Linked DNA regions of Drosophila melanogaster. The protein of the gene in region 2 interacts with the protein of the main gene of each other region in a pairwise test. Each region holds a gene or a part of one and is shown on either strand. Other genes may lie near its edges. The genes, in order: PrBP and dnd.

Region 1 (3,482 bases), on a different chromosome or scaffold from region 2:
GCAGTACAACTCCACTAAACCGCGCCATTATATTATTTCGATCCGCTGCTGTGGGTAGATGGAAGCGAACTGTAAGCTATCCGAGATCTTTGCCCGCCAAGAAGACTTTCTCGCCATCTTCGAGTGACACTTGACCGGGCACGGGTTCTATTTCGAATAAAATGGGGTCAAGTTAGCACTCTCCGCTCCAATCTTCCTCTTAACTTCATGGTTACTTTTCGCGATTCCAATCGCTGAATATTCATCGACACCTAATCTAAATTCAAACTTTGGCAATGTATTGCCGAAAGGCAAGCCCGCGATCTAAATGGGATTATGCTCGTTGACATGAAAGTAAAATAGAGCCAGGCGCAACCTGTTCTACGATTGACCCCTAGGGCATTTTCTCCCACTGAGCAAGATTCACTGAGTATCTCCACACGATGAGATATTGCATTATGCTAATCTCCTTTGGGCCAGACATCTGTATCCTAAAATGGTTCATATAACAACTTTCTTTTAACATCTGTTTATATTTGCTGACAAATTGCGTACAGCTAGGCTATATCTAATACAACGTTTTCGATTGTATGAGTGAATTACTCCTCATACAGCTTCAACAGACTTAAGTAGACTTTATGGATTGGTTACAACTGGTACAGAGATCTATAGATACAATTTATCTCAAATGACACAATGTTCGGCAGCTATTTTTAGTCCATATGTGACAGTCTACAAAAGATTTGTACATAAGCATGCATGTTGCGTTCGAATTCGAGTTGACAGACTCCTTGGTTTATGCAAATTACATTTGTTAATTTTTTATTAATATATTACTGTGGTAAACGTAAAATTAGATTAGATTAAAATGCATTGGACTACAACTAGTTCATAAACGCGCAAACAATTGCATTGAAATGCTGAAGTACTCAAAAGCGAAGTATGCATGTTTTGTAGAGAACATCTTGAAGAACAACCAAAAAAACTTGTGGGTGGACGCGAGAACACCTGGTCGATCAGCAGAACGGCAGGTGACTCACATTTGCCTAAATGTAGTACAGGCGCACAACCGATTTGGTGATGAGTGTCTCGTTGTCGTAGAAACTGGTTTGGATAGTCACATTGCCGTTCAAGACCTTGGCAGGCATCATCTGGGATTCGGGTGCCGCCTCGATTGTCGACTGCCAGGTGTTGGTGGTGTTGGCACCCACGAATCCCATCTCAAAGAACCACTCCTCCATGATGCGGCCCTTGAAGAGCACCTTCTGGTCCAGGCGAAAGTTCTCCATCGACTCGATGGTGCTGAAGTTGATCTCCCGGGAAACGGCACGCATGTCGAGTATTTTCACCGGCACTCGGGCCTCATGCTCCTGGTCCGGTGCCGAGAAGTCCTTGTTCTCCTGCCAGATTATTTTTCCGCTGTCGGCATCCCGCAGAATCATATAGTTGATCTGGAATCCCTTCTGGATCCTGTCCCCGGCACTCTGGTCGTCGGAGCCCATCGGTGGCCGTGGAGGTTGCAAGTCGGTCAATCGGGTGCACTGCCAGGTGGGAGCGCCTACGCGTTTACGTATACTTTCGGGCAGAAAATCAATTATGTTTATTTTTAATTCTAATGCCGAGACAGCTGTTCGGCCGTGAACTAGTTAAATGAACGCGATAGGCAAGATGGAATCAGTTTAAAGAGCTACTCCGCCCTGGTAGAACTAGATTTTTGGTTGAACTTGTAAATATTTTTTAAGTATTCTTAGTATTCTGGCTAAAGAGTTTACTTCCCATTTTATTCCTAAATTTTAAATAATGCTTCTTATAATAATTTAATGGTTTATTTATCCTAATAATTATAATTTCTTCGATGGACCCAACTGTTAAGGCGCAATGTTAATGTACTGTTAATGGCAACTAAGCCGGAACTGGAACTGGTTCCGCGGCAAACAGCTGGCTGGCACTACCATCGCTAATTCGCATAAAATATAAAAACATTCCTAGGAAACTTAGAATTAGTAATAGTAAGAAATGATTATATATGGCGTCTATATAGTTAGTAAATCGGGTGGCCTTATATTCAACCTGGACAACAATGTGCCACGCATTGAGCACGAGAAGACCTTTACATACCCTCTGGACTTGGTGCTGGACTACGATTCCAAGAAGGTATCGGTCTCGTTCAACAGAAAGGATGGAATAAATGGTGGGTGTGTCTGTGAATTTTAGAAACATAACCACCTTAATATATGCTTACGAACAGTGGGCCATGTCCTGGTGGCGGTCAACGGTATGCCCGTCAATGGAGTCACCCTGGATGATGGACGCGATGTGAGGACGACACTGGATGCACCGGAGAACTATCCCATTAACCTGAAGTTCAGCCGGCCAAAGATGACCACCAACGAGAAAATCTTTCTGGCCAGCATGTTCTACCCGCTGTTCGCCATCGCCAGCCAACTGAGTCCGGAGCCCAAGAGTTCCGGCATCGAGATCCTAGAGGCGGACACTTTCACGCTGCACTGCTTCCAAACGCTGACCGGAATCAAGTTCATTATAATCTCGGAAACGGGTCTCAATGGCATTGATCTGCTGCTGCGAAAGGTTTACGAGCTGTACTCAGACTACGTGCTCAAGAACCCCTTCTACTCCCTGGAGATGCCCATTCGATGCGAGCTCTTCGACAACAAGCTCCAAGAGCTCCTCGCCCAGGTCGAGAAGACGGGCATTAGCAATATCGATAAATAAACGTTAGTTAGTCTTTGTAATACGTTATTGAATTTTTTCTATGCAGGATCAGGGTTACGTTCTAAGTGGGAGCATAGGAACATATATCGCTTTATCAGTTTGGATATTTAAAGTTGTTGCTGAAAGAGATGGCATAAATTATAAATTATAGTAATATTTATTACTAGTAAAAATGCCGCAGTAAACGATTTACATTCATATTCTCCAGTGTTTATTTTGATTTTGTTTATTCATTCAGCCATCTTAGAAATAGTTTGTATATTATACATATTCATATAAAAATAGTTCTTTGTTTAAAATTAAATATATATTACACTTTCAGCATAATCTAGACAACACCCTAACCTAAAACAATATATTGCATGGCCTTATATGAATGTTTTGTGATCCACGCACAAGTATAAGATAACCAAATAACCAACAAACTCAGTACATGCTAAATGGTGTATATATATAGTATAATTGTATATAATAAACTTCTTGAGCAAAATATGACTCCAAAAATATATTGCAACTGCGTTAAACATTAAAAATTAAGCAACAATTTCCAAAATACCTACTTAGGACTAATAAAAAGTATCAAAATGGTTCAAGGCATAACAATTAAGTAAGTTCTTCATTTCAATTTCATCTCTATATAGCACTTGGTGGGGAGTACAGCAAGAGAGGGCCTGTATGTGTATGGGTTGTGTGCTTAAGGGGTGTCCTATTGCAAACTGCATATTGCACCGTTCGTTATTCTTCTAGTAACCAGTCTCTGGCTCCTGTTT
Region 2 (4,302 bases):
ATCCAGTTCCTGGTGCATCAAAACATCGCATAAAACACATCGCGCCTCGCTTAGCCGCAGTGCATCCGTGCTATCCAGTACAAAAATCTACGGTTCAGGGATTGTAGTCGAGTCTATATAAGTTCTATATAAGTTCTCCTCTCACCAAAACATTCACTTTCTTATAATACTTTGGCCAGATCTGGCGATTCTTCAGTTCTCCGTTAATATCCCACAACTGGACTCTGAAATTATTTATGGTGAAGCTCCATTCACTAACTTGATTGTTAGATTCCTTGGACTGCAAATAGTTTATGCTAACATTATCAAATGGAGATAGGACCATCACATATATGGCCTTACTTCTCCATTGAAAATTTCCGCCAGGCGGTCTGTCAACGTGGATTTTCCCGCATTGTCTAATCCTAAAATGAGCAGACATGATTTCTGAGAGCCTGCGGGCAGGATCTTTTTTATGAACGAAACAGGTCCGTAAAAACACATGGGGATCGAAATTTGATTTCAGTTTAGATGTCAGGTAAAAATGAATGATTTAACTAGCATAGCCTTCTCAACTATATATTCAGTTTATACTTAAAGATACACGTGAAAAAAGGAAGATTCATCCAACAATTAGAGATTGTGATACTTTTGGTGAGTTGAAATGTAGGTACGTATATTTAGTTCTTAGGGACAACTTAACAGGCGACGATTACTATAATTTAGATTACTTCTTCATATTCTTGCAGACCCAGTCCATTCCCTCCTTTAGTCCAGTGCCATCCACAGCGGTACAGGCCTTGATCTCCCAGGTTCGTCCCTGCAGTTGCACCAAGCTCATCTTCTCGGCCACCTCGGCGGCACTCATGGCATCCGGCATATCCTGTTTGTTAGCGAAAATCAGCACGGGAACTTGCTTCAACCGATTGTCCATGAGCATTTCGAATAGTTCACTACCCGCCTCGGGCAGGCGAGTCCGATCTGTACAGTCAATTACATAGATCTGAAATAATCGAAACTATTAGCTAACAGAATTGAGTTTAGATCTATAACAATCCTACCAGCACATCAGTATTCGCAAAATAGTTCTTCCAATATGGACGTATCTTCCATTGACCACCAATATCCCATACATTCAGTTTGAAACCATCGGCTGCCACGGACTTGATGTTAAATCCTGCCGTGGGCGTTACCTGCGGGATTTCACTCCGTATTTTATGGGGAAAACGGAAGAAGTTCGCCGCCTTTATACGCACCGTGGTTATGTCCTCCGATGCCAGCTGCTTCAGTATCGTGGTCTTGCCAGCATTATCCAATCCTAGGAGCAGGATGCGAGCCTCCTTTTCCGGATTGGGTCTCAGTTTACGCAACAGCGATAGCAGACCCTAAAATTTGTAAGCTATTAAGTTGTTGTTTTTTCTACTTAGTTTTTTGAAGGTGTGTTATTCTAGCACCTGATTACCAGTATTAGTCTAGACTCGGTAGTATCCTCTGGTCTATCTTTGAAATTTTGAATAACAATCTACATTTGGTAGTTTATAAACTTGTAAAATTGTTAATAAATATATGTGTTTTTATAAATGCAACATATGCTTGTAAACACACATGTTTTGTTATTATCAATGTTGTTATCAATAAAGACGATGTAAAGTTGTAAAAAAAAAACTTGCAATTAAAACGTTCTCTTAGTGATAGAATGCAAAAAGCTTATCAACAGGTGAACTTTACAAACATATTGTTGGAATTGAGATAAGGGCTCGCCAAAAGAAACGACAACAAGGTTGAATGAAATAAAAATGTTTATTGGTAAAAAAATTTGCCATGTTCACTTAAAAATTAAGAACTCTTTTTTCCATTGTGTGCTACAAAAAGCTTATTATGTTTCTTTGTTTTCCGAACCACCAATTTGGTTTTTTTTTTCGAATACCGATAATTACGCGCCTAAAACTTTCGAAGTAGTGCTGAAAAAAGTTCTGCTCTAACAAAAAAGTGTTGTATAGTTTTTGAGGCGGGTTTCCATGGCGACGATCGCAAAATGAAAACAAATCGTGCAATTACGGAACAACAAGGCACTTAATTAGCTGTTACGGAACCGGGAGACAACCTACCATCGTATAATTAACGCGAGAATAACAGCCAGGAGGCGGTGCGATCTCCGACCACTATATCCGTATCTGTATCCCCCCGATTCGGCAATCTGCTCTGGCCGCCCAAGACGGTGTCTTCTGGTGGTCAACTCAGGAAAAGTCGGATAACTTGAGAATTGGATCAACTTCAACCACCAAACACAACATCACTGGCTCGTCGCTGCACAACTACTGAAAACAAAATTCGCTCAACGCTCTAACAAATTCCGACAGCAACAACAACAGCGCCAACGGTCGCCGAGCAACCGCTGCAAAGGATTGTTAGACGGGGGACGTGGTGGGGGTGCGGGTCGAGCGGTATTCGAATTGGAACGGGAACGGGAAGAAGATGCCGCTGCTATTTACGGGCTTCAACGCATTTGGCCAGCATGAATGTGTAAGCGGCGACGTCGACTGCGCAGCCGGCTTCAGCGGTTTGTAACCGGCAACAAAAGCCGCCGATCACTTAGTTGCTACAGTAGGCACTCGCTATAGAACTCGCTGGGATGCATGCAGCTTATACCATTTTTACAATTCTAATTCTATCTTATAAAACTGAATCCGATTTAAGCCAGATGAATTTTTAAGATTTCATGTTTAAAATAGAGTATAGTGATTTTCAGGTGAATATATACGTAGGACATTAATCCATAAAATTCTTTGCATATTCATATTCATGCATTGGATATAGACTGCATTTTAATTGACAGTTATAGGGTAAATTACACATCGGTACTTGGTGCCAACTGCATTTTTTGATTGGCCAAATACATACATAGCAATGAAATTGATAAACTAATAACTTAGACAAAATCTTTTTAGGGGGCTTCCACCGTATGTATGTATGTGTACTAATTCAGTTCTGCCTTTATTACAGAATTAAATGCGCCAGTCTCGACTCAGAACCAGTGCACGATTTCGATCGGCTGGCGGTATGCGGCCCTCGCTTTTGGCCGGAAGTTGTGCCTGCGTGGGCTCTTGGATGATGGCCCAAATGAGTGCGTGACCCTGGAAGCAACGGGGAACATAAGGGCCCTTGCCGCTGCCGATTCCCACTGCCTGGTGCTACTCCAAAGCGGTCAGCTTTACAGGGTGCAACCAAAACTGCAAGCGGAACTGGTGGCTGTTAGACTAGAAGCTGCTCCCAGATCCAATTCGGGTACAAAGCGCTCTATCTTTGGGGCTGCCAAGGCGCCTTCGTCGCCGATCATAGAGCATATTGCATGTGGATCGCACATAAACGTAGCGATAAGTTCGGAAAACTGTGTCTACAGCATTCCCAGCTGCCTGCATCAGTTTTCCGAGCGCCAATTTCGGGTGAAGCAGCTCCAATGCGGCCATGAACATGCCGTGCTCCTCAATGCCAATGGCGACGTGTTCACCTGGGGAAATGGACTGTAAGTAAAGGTCATAATGAATGCGTTGGCTGTGCAGAAATGCAGCCTATAAATATTTACATATTCTGGTTTTAAGATATTTAGATATTAGCGAGTTTCTTATTCTAATTCCTAACAATTTTTTTCACTTCTATGTCATAATTAACAGACGCGGACAGTTGGGTCTGGCGGAACTGAGAGTGGAGGAGACGCCTCAATTGCTGGAGGCGCTGGCGGGGATCAAGGTATATATATATTTGACTTGTCCACTTATCTTGTCTGTCACACATTCAAGTGCCTTGCAGATAACTCAAATTGCTGCCGGTGGTTGGCACAGTGCGGCCATATCCGCCTTTGGAGACCTCTACACCTGGGGCCTCAACTGCAGCGGTCAGCTGGGATTGCGTGTGATGAAACCCGGTGGCGTCCTCAAAGAGCCCACTGTATTTCCGCTGCCCCAGTTGCAAGATCTGCCCGAATGTGCCTGCTCCCAAAGCGGGGAGAGCAACGATGATTGCGCACCGCTGAGGGTGTTTGCTGGATCTCGTCACACTCTGCTGATCCGCCGATGCGGGCGGCTATGGGTCAGTGGTTGGTGCAAGCACGGTCAACTTGGCAGGCAGCTCCAAGACCTGTCCTATGTGGATGCTTTTCAGGCCCTGGAAGGTATCACGATGAACCCTACTGTGGATGATGTTCTCTGTGGGCCATGGTCAACGCTGCTCCATTTGAAGGTAACGTTGGATTGAAGACACATACATATGTACCTTTTAAAATGGCTTCACTATTAAATCTACTGAATTGAACACAGCTTGGACACA

What was found.
Region 1: the proteins of dnd (region 2) and PrBP interact in a two-hybrid assay, tested with the Drosophila melanogaster proteins (one large-scale study listed by BioGRID).

The regions. Positions count from the first base shown.
Region 1 is NT_033779.5:8,684,323-8,687,804, forward strand, and holds PrBP (Prenyl-binding protein), read right to left. Parts: upstream 1,634-3,482; 5' UTR 1,482-1,633; coding exon 1,026-1,481; 3' UTR 501-1,025; downstream 1-500. Other genes in the region: CG9289 (uncharacterized protein), read right to left, coding at 1-28; Trs23 (TRAPP subunit 23), read left to right, coding at 1,996-2,170, 2,228-2,712; Hnf4 (hepatocyte nuclear factor 4), read right to left, coding at 3,456-3,482.
Region 2 is NT_033777.3:21,885,053-21,889,354, forward strand, and holds dnd (dead end), read right to left. Parts: upstream 2,304-4,302; 5' UTR 2,091-2,303; coding exon 2,088-2,090; exon of another isoform or gene 1,977-2,087; intron 1,365-1,976; coding exon 1,236-1,364; intron 1,173-1,235; coding exon 1,041-1,172; intron 983-1,040; coding exon 707-982; 3' UTR 624-706; downstream 1-623. Other genes in the region: CG17819 (uncharacterized protein), read right to left, coding at 1-87, 146-280, 343-483; CG6678 (uncharacterized protein), read left to right, coding at 2,455-2,539, 2,983-3,502, 3,651-3,726, 3,787-4,215.